3 linked regions of the Caenorhabditis elegans genome follow. The protein of the gene in region 3 interacts with the protein of the main gene of each other region in a pairwise test. Each region holds a gene or a part of one and is shown on either strand. Other genes may lie near its edges.

The links. Proteins that work in one complex are often made in the same cells at the same time.
Region 1: the proteins of T19B4.5 (region 3) and Y41E3.7 interact in a two-hybrid assay, tested with the Caenorhabditis elegans proteins (one large-scale study listed by BioGRID).
Region 2: the proteins of T19B4.5 (region 3) and cla-1 interact in a two-hybrid assay, tested with the Caenorhabditis elegans proteins (one large-scale study listed by BioGRID).

What each region holds. Positions count from the first base shown.
Region 1 is NC_003282.8:15,012,352-15,017,082, forward strand, and holds the start of Y41E3.7 (Golgi resident protein GCP60), read left to right. Parts: upstream 1-1,683; 5' UTR 1,684-1,692; coding exon 1,693-1,801; intron 1,802-1,849; coding exon 1,850-1,917; intron 1,918-1,967; coding exon 1,968-2,038; intron 2,039-2,903; coding exon of another isoform or gene 2,904-2,985; exon of another isoform or gene 2,986-3,145; intron 3,146-4,731. Other genes in the region: qars-1 (putative glutamine--tRNA ligase), read right to left, coding at 170-505, 577-825.
Region 2 is NC_003282.8:7,609,155-7,613,727, forward strand, and holds the start of cla-1 (Protein clarinet), read left to right. Parts: upstream 1-1,525; coding exon 1,526-1,608; intron 1,609-1,681; coding exon 1,682-1,743; intron 1,744-2,121; coding exon 2,122-2,190; intron 2,191-2,284; coding exon 2,285-2,598; intron 2,599-3,488; coding exon 3,489-3,533; intron 3,534-3,805; coding exon 3,806-3,855; intron 3,856-3,900; coding exon 3,901-3,948; intron 3,949-4,068; coding exon 4,069-4,485; intron 4,486-4,573. UniProt on the Caenorhabditis elegans protein: Required for synapse development in the active zone of presynaptic terminals of specific neurons including serotonergic NSM neurons.
Region 3 is NC_003279.8:5,672,733-5,677,121, forward strand, and holds T19B4.5 (uncharacterized protein), read left to right. Parts: upstream 1-1,571; 5' UTR 1,572-1,676; coding exon 1,677-1,740; intron 1,741-1,826; coding exon 1,827-2,203; intron 2,204-2,250; coding exon 2,251-2,766; intron 2,767-2,888; coding exon 2,889-2,960; intron 2,961-3,332; coding exon 3,333-3,506; 3' UTR 3,507-3,877; downstream 3,878-4,389. Other genes in the region: zipt-2.4 (Zinc transporter ZIP3), read right to left, coding at 3-335, 382-481, 532-612; dnj-21 (Mitochondrial import inner membrane translocase subunit TIM14), read left to right, coding at 4,104-4,229, 4,279-4,389.

The DNA.
Region 1 (4,731 bases), on a different chromosome or scaffold from region 3:
CTTATTTCGCAAGCCTCGCACGCTTTTTCTCTTGAAAAGAAAACGCGCGAGGCTTGCGAAGTAAGCGTGCGGCGGTTGCGAATTCCTCCAAATTTCCGGCAAAAGTCCTGAAAAATGTAGATTAAATTCAATAATTTTTTTCAGAACAGTACGGAATTTCAGGCCTTACTTTCGGGCCTTCCGGCTTCTTCTCCTTCTTCTTCGGAGCCAAATCCTCCGCAGTCTTCGGTCCGAGCAGCTCCAAGAATCTCAAATCCACCTCCTTCTTCGTAATCGCACCATCAGCCCATGGAAGCAGAGCTCGTAGCTCGCCGAGCAACTTTCCGGCCGGGAACGAGTACCGCTCGGCGACGATTTTCTCGCGGTGTTGGCCAATCACCTTGGTAACGGCCGCTTCGATGTCGTCGATTGTGACAACAACGCCGACTCCGCATGATTTCTCGAAATCAGGCACTTGGATACCTTTAACGGTGTGCGAGAGAAGATACTCGATCGCTGCGGAGAGCTGAAATTTTTTTGAAATTTGGAAATTTAGCTGTTTTTTTTTTAATTTGAAATTTAATTTTAATTACAAACCTGTGGCTCTGTCTTAATCCCGTCATTCATAATATACTTGACAACTAGTGGAGTGTGAGCAGCGACTTGTGGCTTCAACTTTGTCGCCAACTGGTACAAAAGTGTTCCTTTTTGCTTGGAAATCTCGCCAGACTCGCTCGCAAGCTTCACAATTGAACCGATCGTTTCGGTGAGCTTCACATTTTTCAGCGTTTCAGCTACTTTTGAATCAGAGAGGCCCAAAGAGAGAAGCTCCTCCTTTGTTGCCATTTTTACCCTGGAAAATTTGTGAATTTTTTTGAATAATTTGAAGTTAGAAAGTGGAGAAGCGGAAGAAAATTCTAGAAAATAAATGTTTTTAAAGAAAGTCCAGTTTTCCGTTTTCTGAGTTTCGCGGAAAGTTGCAATCTATAGAAAAACTGAAAAAAAAGCAAATCGCTTCCTGAAACAGCCTAAAAAACCTTGAAAATACAAAATTTAGGGAGAATTTAGAAGATTTTTCGTCGAATCTCGGGAAAATCTTGAATAATTGAGTGAGAAAACAGTTTTTACAATAAGGAATTATGATAAAGTTGCAAACATCTGGAGAAATTCCAAATTTCTTGATTTTAGCCGAATAACCCTAAATTTTTCAGTTTTTTCCGAGTTTTTCGCGGGATTTGAGTTTAAATACAATATTTCTATATTTTTAATCAAATTTTTAGCCTCAAATCTGGAAAAAATAATTTTAAAAAAGCCAAAAAACCACTGGAAAACTTTTAAAATAGGCTTTTCCTTGCTAATTGCAGCTGAAAACTGCAAAAGTGTGCATTTTCGCGTGCCGGTGTTTACACACAAAACATCACAAAATGGTGTGCCACATCGGATCCACGTTCATTTTTTTCAGCGTTGTTCTTCGTGTTTTTGCATTAAAAAGTTCTGAAAATCTGGATTTTTTATTGATTTTTACTTCGAATTGTGATCTTTAATCTAATTTCTATGGATTTTATACCGAAAATGTCGAAATTACATATGAAAATTGCTAGAAACCGGCTGCAATTCTCATTTTCTGATTTTTATCTGATTTTCTTTCCAGTTTCCCCTTGATTTTTATTGCGCTCTGGCATTTTAAAAATCAATTTTCGCACATTTTCAGAGATGGCCGACGAGAACCACGTCCGTCTAAGCGAGGTTCAACTGATTCAGTCGGAATTCGGACATTCTCTCGAGGAATGCTACAAGCTTGCCGTTCAATATTATAAAAAAGGTATTTTTTGATTTAAAAATTCTTTTTAAAAAATGAGTTTTTTTCCAGAACACGTCGGGAAACAGGAGCCTGTTGGATATGAAGATCGCATTAAATTGCTCTCGTTGAGCAAACAAGTGAAAATTCCAGTTTTAAAATCAAAAATTAAATAAAAATTAAATTCCAGGTCCAACATGGAGAGATTTCCGATGAATTTGACAACGCTGGATGGCTAGATATCACTGGAAACGATGTGAAGTGGGTGATTTTCAATCAAAATTCTAACAAAAAAAAAGAAAACACTCTATTCCTTTTCCAATTTCCCCCCACACCCTCATTTCTCGAAAATGATGAACAAAATTGGAGAAAAAAAAGAAGAAGGACACACGAAGACGCAATCTCCAAAAAATTTCATTTTGTTTTTCATTTCCTATTCTATTCCAGGATAGAAATCTCGGAGAATTGGCAACTTTTCTTCTGATTTAATTAATTTTTAGCGGTTTTTCTTCAGAAATTTGATCAAAAATTGAATCGATCCGTGAATTTTGCACAGAAAAAGAGGCGGGGCGTAATTTTGCAACCCTGTGGCACCGTTTTTTAATGTCGATTTTACTAGTTTTATTCTTTTTTTATCGAATTAAAAGGTTATCCAATTAAATTCTAGTAATTAATTTAATCTGAATATCCTTATAATCTTATGAGAATTAAATTTTATAACATTTTAATTCGAAAAAAAGATAATATGACAAGTAAAATCGGCATTTTATTGAAAAAAATCAACAAAAAGTGGAAAACGAGCTCCAAAAAAGAGAGAAAACGCTGGTTTTCTGGCGAAATTCACAATTCTTCCACGCAAAACTATGTAGCTGAAAATTTCAGAAAGTTGGAAAAAAAATCCAATTTTATAATTTTTTTACAGTTTTTTTTTACAAATTCAGTTTTCTAGGCTTCTCTTCTGGCGCCCTCAAGCCATTCTCAAACTTTAAATGAATTTTCCAAAATTTTAGGCTAAAATCCTCCAATTTTAGTGCCTTCTCCTCTGAAATTAAGCAGCAAATCTGAAAAAGCTGTCAAAATAACCTATTTTATGGCAATTTTGCACCTCAAATAGAGCCGTTTTCAGCGATTTTTCGAACTTTGTTGCTCGTCAGTACAAATTCGTGTTCCTCCTCCTGCTCCACCACTCGCCGTCTTGTTTCGTCTAATCCATTTGGGACGTTTATACGTGTTTTGTGTGTCCCGGCGGCTTCTTCCTTCACTTTTGCTACTAGAAATTATTTCTCTTTGAAACCTCTGTCCGAAATATATTTTTTTTTGCTGGACGCCTTCTTTAGAACCTTTTCAAGTGTGGCCAATTATCGTAAAAGCAGGCGGTGTGCAAATTTGATTTTCGAGAGAGAAGGAATGTTCAATGTCTACCAGTTATTTTGGCTTTTTCCAAGGATTCGTTCAGTTCTTTGACGAATAACAGCCCCACGGGGTTCTGGCCTTCCTCATTGAATTTTTCGCGCTCCATTGACAATCGCTCGCCGGACTCCACACGGACAAATACATTTACATAGTTTTTCAACTAAAATCGAGCCGCGACGCGACACGCAACGCGCCGTAAATCTACCCCCGAGCCAAAATGACCTAGTTCGGCAAACTCTTCCATTTCAAGTTATGAGGGAAGCCAGAAAACCGTGGCAGCCCGAAAGGTCTTCTACTTTTGATGCTCTCGGAGCTCTGAGCCAAAAAGCCCCAAATATGGATACAAATCCATCATGAGCTCACCTCATAAGAGCCGGCTCTCCTAATACTCATCAGTCATTTTGTATTCTTTCCTAAAGAGATAGACATACATGTTTTCAAAAAAGAAAAGAAGTTTTTGTCGAGAATTCGTCACAAATTGATTTTCAGCCTCTTTTGTCGACGAAAATTTCAGCTACACCCACCAATTTGGCTCTCCTCCTCCTCCTGCTCAAGAGGAGCAACACTGAAATCTCTGGAGAATTGGGTGGCTTCTTCCTCTCCTTTCATTCCTTTTTGCCCTATTTCTCTCGTTTTTCCGTCTGTTAAAAAGTTGACGGCACATCCTTCTGTTTTGTTACTTTGTTGTTTTCGAGGCGGTTTCACAATTGTCTACGGTATTTCCTGATTACGGAACTTTTTTCTGCGTGCGGATTCTGAGTTTTTCACGGGGTTCTGGCCCAGATATGGCAGAGCCAAAATGGCCTAGCTCGGCAAACTCTTTCATTTAAATTTATGAGAGGAAGCCAGAAACCACGCGACGCCAGACTGTCCCATCACGATTTGATCTACAAAAAATGCGGAAAATTTTTTCCTCTAAAAATTGTGACGTCAGAACGATCTCAACCATGTGAAATCAGAAGAGATGTCTGCGTCTCAACTCCCGCATTTTTTGAAGATCAAATCGGAATAAGACTTTTCGGACTCCATGCGGTGCACCCGTAACGTGACTGAGATCGTGGCAAGACCCACTTATCATGTCAAATTTTCGGGAAAATGTCCTACCGTACTTACTTGAAGGAAGAACCTCTCATCAACATTCTACAACCAAAATGTAGTCCTCATTGCAAGAAGAAATACGTCATATTTCTCTGTCTATCTACATTCCAGTACTTGTGTCTGATAATCAGGAAGTGCTGATATCCATTCCGTGTTTTTCTCATGACACTTGCTTTTTTTTGAAGAGAAGTCACCTTCGCCCTCCAGCAAAATTTAAGGTTTTCCCACGAGGATATCCAGCGTTTCCTCGTGTTTCTTTAGTAGTAGTTCACTTTTTTTCTGGTTTTGTTTTCGTTGGATTGCTTTCCTTTGTGGAAAATCAAATTTTCTACCGAAATTTGTGTGGGGATTCTCTCGCTACTCTGGTCTGTTCTTCTGACTCACGTTTTCCGTTTCTTTCCATCCAAGAGACGTACAAAAGTAGTAAGAGTAAACACACAGAC
Region 2 (4,573 bases), on a different chromosome or scaffold from region 3:
CTCGAATAGCTGCAATGGCTGACGAGGACTTTACACATCCTGTTAAAGGAGCTGTCGCGCCAATTTATGATGAAAATTATAGTAGGGACGATGGTGCAATTGATAGATTCCCAGCTTCGACAGCTACTCCAGTGTTTGCGCAGCCGTCTGAAATTGAACTTTCTGAAGAAGAGCGTGAACATATTTCCAGAATCGCTGCAATGGCTGAAGAAGATTTTAATACACCATACGTTTCAACACATCCAACACAGCAAATTGAAATAGAACTAACGGAAGAAGAAAAAGAACATATTGCAAGGATCGAGGCGATGGCTTCCGAAGATTTAAATGCGCCATCTCCCTTTATCCAACAAGAGCAACGAGTTGCGACAATGCCAGTGCCAATTAATTATCATGTTGAAGAACCAACTCTATCGCAAGAAGAAATTGATCACATTGCAAGAATAACAGCTATGGCTACTGAAGATAACACTGATCTACAAACTCTACCAACTCCTCAAGTTAAACAAAATGAACCGGAGCTCTCCCAAGAAGAAATAGATCACATTACTCGAATAGCTGCAATGGCAAATGAAGACTTTGGAATGTATCCTTCAATTGTTTCTGAACATCCTGCTCCAGTTGAATCTGAACTTACTCAAGAAGAACTTGATCATATCGCTAAGATCACAGGAATGGCATCTATGGACATCAGTACTCTACCACCTCCAACAGGAAAACCATCCGAGACATCACTTACTCAGGAAGAACTTGATCATATTGCTCGCATAGCTGAAATGGCATCAGCAGAATATGATGTTCCTGTAAAAATATTCGAACCACCAGAACTAACTCAAGAGGAACTTGATCATATAGCAAAGATTACTGCAATGGCTGCACAAGATGTCCAACTTCCTGCCACCCAAAGATCGATTACTCATAAGGTTTCGTTGACTCCACCTCCTCCTCCTCCTTCTAAACACTTTGAGCAAGATCTCACTCAAGAAGAGCTTGACCATATTGCAAGAATTGCTGAGATGGCTGATATGGATTATAACACTCCATTCACTGCTGAACCAGTTCAAGATGAAGAAGAAGAACCAATAACAGAAAGTGGATCAGATGCAACATCAGGTGCTGATATATTCGATGAACAAGAAGATGCAAGTTCAGGCGCCAGCGGCTCCTTCGATAACAACAATGCTCAAGTGCTAACGAGCGGCTTCTCTCCAGATCGAGTTACATCTCCTGCTGCACTTGACACAACTGAAGAGCCCCAGGGTCCTATTATGGCTCAGAAGGTGAGAAATAGACGTTGTTTTTTGTGTGCGAGCTGTTTCTATTTTCCCAGCCATAAATACTTTTTTTTCACATTCACCATGTTGCTATGCATGCCGTGGCAATGCAACGGTGTCATTAAATATTATGCAGATAGCGTGACAACTCCCAGATTTTCAACTTTTCCCCTTTTTTGACTACTAAACACTACTATCCAACAGGATTTTATGATTTTCAGACTGTGTCTCCGACGCCATCAGCAGATTCGATGGCGTCACGGAAGAGTAGTGAATACGACATTAGAAGTATATCAGAGATTAGGCAAGAGTCCGAGTCGGATATCGGAAAGTGGTATGCTGAATTTTTAATAAACCTTTTTTTTTCTTTTTGAAAATTAGTGTTTCAATTTTACTATTTTGTTCAGGTATGAGGAGCAACTCAGTTTCATGCGACAATCGATCCACGATGAGGAAGAAGATGTGGGGCGTAAGTGGTTTAAAAAAAAAACTTTTATGCGCTTCAGTGTAGGTACACAGAGGCCTACTCACCTACCTAGTATAATTTGCTAAAACAAATTCTACTCGACAAGAGAATTTCTACAGCAAAGAAAGCAAAAGCTAGATAAAATGTTATCAAAAATATTTTACAAGAGTGTTTAATTAATTCTTAATTCTACAAAAAACAATTCTAATTGCAATCAGCAGACTTTTATCTGAACTTTCAAAATTTTCCACTATCCACTCTGTTTTTGACTCAGAAAAACGTCCAAATAAAAGAAATGACTGAATATAATTTCATTAGACCTATGTAATACAAATATTACATTTTTCTTCTCTATTTACTTTTTTATTTTTGAAATTTCAGATGAAATTCGAACTGACGTTGAAGAGTTCCCATTGGAGTATGTTGAGGATCAACTTCACTTCCTTGAAGGTGAGTTTTCTGTCAAAAATGAAAAATTCATAGCACAAATCAAAAAGCGAGACGAAGAGACCAAATCTCAAAGCAAAAAAACATATATTTGCAGGTATTGACGTAGAGAGCCAACACCATGAGCCCACCACTTCTTCTGCCTTCTTTGGCACCGGAAGATCGATTGGTGAAGGGGAAAAGAGAAAATATGGTGACGACGCCGTGGAGCAGCAAAAACTGGAGAACTACGAAGAGGAGGAGAAGACGAAGAGTAGTAGTCGTGAGGCTTTTGATGATGGATTTGAGACGCAGAGAGAAGAGTCGTTGAGGGCGCAGCAGACACCCATCGATTCACTGCCGGGTAGTCGTATGTTGAAGCGACCCAATTTCGGCTTCCTTTCTAATATTGCAAATGATGCTATTAATAAGGTAAGTAATTGAATATTCACTATGACCTATCAGACTTCACCGTTTGAAAAAAGACCATGAACAAAAAACTAAAACTCAAAAGACTACGTTTTTGAAACTGTAAATGCGCGAAGCTATTCAAAATATTTTCAGTCACTATAGAAATTGTTATTTTTTTTAGAGCTGTTTGACTGAAAATAAATAATTGTCCAAAATTGTTTGACAGGTTTTATTATGATATTTGGTATGGATATTTGAAATGATTTTCCAATAATGTAGAACATATTATGTTGCAACAATTTGTTTTTTTCTGTTATATTCAAATTTACTGTTTTCTAGAAAAAAAACATAGAAATTATGTTAACATCTAAGAAACTCTTCAATCAGCATTTTTTCTTAAAAATAACTAACTTTTACATGCAACATTTTGAGAATATGAGTAGTTTTTTATACACACAAATTTATATATTACATGAATTCATTTTCAAAAAAAAAAAACCATTTCAATGTCAGTATACAAAACCAATTTCGCAGTGTCTTTGACTCTCCAAGAGCAGCTACGATGGGCTCGTTACTCACGGAATTCGACTTTCCGGTCTTTCCAAAATAACGCAAATGTGTTGTTCCCTCATCCAACAAACACTATACAATCATTTGTTCTTCCTTTTTTCTTTTTTTTTTTTAGCGGTCACACATACACCATTCCAAAAGATGTACCCATCGTTTTGGTCTATTTTCCACTTTTTTATGTTTTGTTGTATGTGTCGCTTATGCATAAATGTAGGGTGTGCAACAAAAAGAAACACTTTAGGATTCGGCTCGGGGGACCCCCATGCCTCATTAATTTTTTGCGAGAAGACATGCGTGTGCTCTTCTCTCCTTGTCACTTTCGATAATTGCTCTTTTTGCAGGCAAAGGAAGCGGGTTCGCAAATCCAAGCCGCCGTACCCATCAAGGTGAGTGAACTTTTTTCTTTTTATTCTCTTTCCGTAGGGCTTCCGACCCAATTCAATTATGGTAACACGATTTTGATCTAGATCTCATGACTAAACGCTCACGAGTTTTTCACTTGATTGATTACTTTTTTTTGAGAAACTGCTTTTGGTATTAATATTATAAACAAACAATTAACTAATTCACAAAACGGCTAATGTTTTTAAACATTACTTCTGTAAATTAATTTTTTTGAAATAAATTAAATAACCTCAAAATAATAAAAACTTTTCAGCCATCCTCTTCATCATCAAATATTGTCAACAACAATGTCTTCTCTAGCAGGTAATTGATATTTTGTCAAGTCAACTATAAAAAAAACAATTTCAGCAAATCCTCAACCTCCCTAGGCACCAGTGCTCCAACCAAATCTATTCCGTAAGTAACATAAAACATTCCCAGTATATCAGATTACTCCCCGCACGTACACTTTTCTACCTCCCCTCTTCTTTTTTCTTTTGATTTTCATTTCCTAAATGGTTAATTTTGAAATTACAGCTCTCCACAAATCGGTATTCCGATGGATGGTCTTTCCGAAGAAGAACGTCGACAAATCATGTCAGTTATGGCTGCAGCCGACTTTGACGATTCTGTTAATAATGTAAAACCAAGCACAAGTGGTTCATCAAATATTCCAGCAGGAATGGAGGATCTTTCGGAAGCAGAAAGAGAAAAGATCATGTCAGTTATGGCAAATGCAGAAATGGAGATGGGCGCACGTTTCCCTCCTCCTTCAAGTCAAATTCCAACAAGATCTCCCAGTGTTATGAGTTCAAGTATAATGTCCGAATTACCACCTGGACTCGATGATTTGTCAGATGATGAAAGAATGAAAATTATGGCAGTTATGGCAGAAGCTGATATGCAGAATGTGCGAAAACCCATTGCAAGAGGCCCACCACCAATGCCACCAAGGTTAGTTAGCCGACAATGAGACACCAAAATTTTAAGATTATGAAACACAATGAATGCTTCAAATTTCACTGAAATTATTTCTGGGAAT
Region 3 (4,389 bases):
ACCAACAAGGTCGTCTTCTTTTTTCTTAATTTCATCAACAGTATCAGCCATACAACATCCTCCAGCGCCAGAAGCTTCGACACTTTTTGAAGCCAATGGAGGTGTAGTTTCATGATGATGATGATCATGTCCGTGACCATGTCCATGTCCATGAGCAAATGATGGAATTATCATAATAACGACTTCTTCGAGAAAGAAGATAAGAAAGAATCCGAGACAAGATAAAAGTTCTCCGACTGGATAATCGATACGAAAATTATGAACTGTATCGAGGGTTTCAAGATTTTCACGAAGTTCTGGGAAAAGATGAAGGAAACACGTGGCAAGAAAGACTCCTGAAAAATTATAAAACTAATAAAATATTTTAAAACATTTCCGAACCTCCAGAAAAGCATGTCAAAAGGCAGAGAACAAGGGAAACGTGTTTGTGTTTTGATGAGCTCTGAGCTGTCGCTGCTTCATGCCGTAATTTGTGAAGTACCTGAAAAACATTAGTGAAATATTAATACACAAATCTCAATAATTTCTCACTTTTAATGGCGATAATCCAACGATAACTGTGAGCGAAAACATTACAAACATTAACACCAATTTCAGTATTGCTTCGTTCATTTTGTTTTCTGGAAAAAAAACTAAAATAAAAGTTATGCACGAAAAAGTTGGCAACGGGGCGGTCCGGAGGGTGCAGCTGATAAGAATAATTGATAACAGTGTGCTTTGTTCTAGTTTTCAAAGAAAAGTATATAAAAGCGGAAGGGAAATGAGAGAACGCGCGAGAATTCAGTTAAACCAGAAGAATTATTGTTGATATCGATTAGAAGATAATGTAGAATCAGAAATAGTGTGAATAGCGGTTTCAATAATAAAAATAACAATAAAACCAACGGCTATCGAATGTAAATATTTGTATTTGTATTTTAAAAAATCATTTATAATCTAAAGAAAGAAGAAAATTCTTTAAATTTAACGCCAAATTCGGCATAAGGCTGTGCAAAGATGTGCCTTTAGGCCTGCGGGGTGAGGCCTGAATCTCGCAACGACACTCCGAAATAACGCAGACGCGTGCTGTTTAGCAAAAAACAGTTTCAATGACGATTTTTGAATTTTAACCTTAACTTAAATAATTACCCGTTTTCCTTCGAAGTTTCTTTCGTTAAAATGCTAATTTTGGATGTTGTTCATGATGCACTTCATTTCGAATCATCCTAACGTAATTTAAACTCAAAGAAAAATCATAACACTCAGAATATGCTATGAAACGAATAACGGTAGAAGGTTATTGAATAGTCCCACTAGTTTCATTGAAATAGCTTTCATAAGTATTAGGAAATGCATTATTTTGTTCTTTCGATAGTGTTCGATGGTATTACTACAGAAATGTTCATTTTAAAGTTGTCTTCTACGATCGGTAAAAACTGACGATTAACGCGTTTGTTTACAATTGTTTTAATGTTTTAGTTTTAAAGTTTTAAAAACGATTAGGAGTTTTTCATTTTTATTTACACTCATTTTTCTCCTCTCAGCCCTCATTTATCCGACTTGGCGTGTTAAGTCATGTCTCGAATTTTTATAGGTTTTCTCTCTGTATGATTCCGTCTCGGCGACAGCGATACTTTCGCCCGAACTCACCGCCAGTGACATCATCTTCTTCCGGAGCAGGAAGCAGTCACCAGACTATGAATCCATCGAATATGAATGTTTTAGAGCAGGCCGAATTAGTTATCGATGGAGGTGATCCAGGTAATATTTACGAGTTTTATTTACCACCTTTGCAAACACAGCTTTTCGACTTTTTGCATGAGGTATATTAAATTCAAATTTTCCAGGGGATGAACAACAAGTTGCCCATGAAGAAATTGTAGACGACGGTTCGACTGAAATGGTTGTTGATCACCATCATCATCCACAACTTCGTGGTAATCCAATGCATCATCATCACTATGATAACCGTCAATCAGCTCCTGCTTATCAAGTTCCACAACAACAATCTCAATCAATTCGTAGAGGAGTTGGCCGTCCGATGGCTCCTCGTCCACAAAGTTACCCACATAATATGGATATGGTTCAGAAATTGCAAAATAAAAATGTCTATATGCCAGCTCAGCAGAGACCTCAGACAAGAATTTCTCCAGCCGGCGCGAGAATTGTCAGCTTTGCTGGAAGAAAACGAGATAATTCTGATGGGCTTCCTCCAGGTGTAAAGGTAATTTTTTTGGTCGAGATATTAAATTTATTAATATTCCTTTTCAGAAAATGAACATGCCCGCAGCTCGCCCACATCAGCAGCAAACTCAACAACAATCTCATCTGCAGCAAGGTCAACAATCACAGAAAAATCTGCAACCTGTCAAAGTAGTTCGTCTGGCTTCAAGTGTGGCTCGTGCAAATCCGACAGCATCCGAACATGCTCTTATCGAAATCGAGAATAATATCAAACAAACAATAGAAGATGCAAAAGTCGATACTGAGAGATTAAGAGAATTACAAGAAGCTGACTTCTCACAGGATGAATATCATCAATATCTTGGAATGTTGATTATGGATCTGGAAAGATCAAATGAGGCGAACTCGACTCTGACAACATATTATCGCGAACGACAACGACATGAAAAGACTATTTCGGAAGCCAGAGAAAATGCATTTTCAGCTAGAATTCGTCAGTTGGAGACTGAAAATCGAAAATTGAGGGATTCGATTCATGTGATGTATTATGGAAAGTTCAATGAGGCTGGAGGTCATAACAATATTTATCGAAATGATCATATGGTAATTTTCAGTTAAATTACATTTTATTAAATATGAATTACAATATGTTTTTTTACAACTTTCAAAATTGATAAAACAATAAAAATAAGATATCCCTTTTGCAAACATTTATTGGATTTCAGGGTCAAATGATGGTTGAAGAGCCCGAAGAGCATGTTGTTATTGAAGGACACGTGGGCAATAATCAAGAAGGAGTACGTTTTAAAAAAAAGTCTATTATACAAAAAAAAGAGCTTCAATGTTTTGAAATGCAGAATAAAATCTTGAACCTGTAAATTATTTTCTCAAAGCTATGTAAACGGAAAACCAATGACTGAGAACTGAAATTCCATTTTTATTACTAATTTATCTTAAAAGTACACCTTCTGGGGAAATGCAGTCGAAACTCTCCAAAAAACTTAACTGCTTTGTCATCGAGCAAATTTGGAAGAAAGTTTGAATTATTAATTTATAGTGAAATTACGAATTTAGTAAACATCTTGGTTTTTTTAAACTTATCAAAATGTTCGATTTTGTTTCTAAACAATAATAAAAAAGTTCGTAATAATAATAATAATTTATTTTAGGAAGAAGTTCCACAAGAGTGGATTGTCGAGGAGACTGTTGATGAACATCGAATGCATTTGGAAGGAATGGAAGCAGATGATCATATGGTTGAGGATCAACAACAACAGGATGAAGAACATGAAGATGTTAAAGATAAAAACTTGCTCGCTGGTGGAAGTGGAAGATCTGGATGAAATTTTTAACTTTTTATCTGGAAACCTGATTAATTTATTCGTTTCATCCTCTCTTTCATTCATCTATATTCTTCTGTTGTTAAATTATTCCTTTATGCCTACCGGAATCGCAAACTAATCAAAACAGACTAAACTTTACGAAACTACGGTCAAAAACTGTCACATTGCGTTCCAAATATTATTTATGTTTCCAATCCCAAATTTTGAAAATTAATTTACAAAATTCTCGGGTCTTATCGATTTCATCACTTTTCTGTTTAACTTTCCAATTTTTAAAATTTACAATTCTTTTTAATCTCACCTTAAGCTCCACAGGATCCCATTTTCATTCTTGATTATCAAATTAACATCTCTAGAAGGCAGGCCCTTCTTTCTTCCCACCCCCCCCCCCCCCCCCCCCACCTCTCTCATTATTCCCAGAACTAGTTTAAGAGCATTTTAAGCTACACTTTGAAATATCCAATACAAAATAAAGTTATAGTTTGAAATTTTTTATTCTGATGAATCTGTTGATATTTCCTGTTTAATACAGGTTCTGTACCTAAAAAGGATTACCGAAGATAGTAAATTCAAAATATTGTTTTGTAGAAAAATAAAATGACGGGAGGTTTAATTGTTGCCGGTTTGGGTCTCGCTGCAGTCGGATTTGGAGCTCGATATGTCCTTCGAAATCAGGCGCTTATTAAAAAAGGAATGGAGGCGATTCCAGTTGCTGGTGGAGCTGTTAGTGTTTATTTTTTGAAAGTTTTAATTTAAAAATGCCAAATTTCAGTTTAGCAACTATTATCGTGGAGGTTTCGATCAAAAGATGTCACGAGCCGAAGCAGCGAAAATTTTGGGCGTTGCGCCGTCAGCAAAACCGGCGAAAATTAAGGAAGCTCAT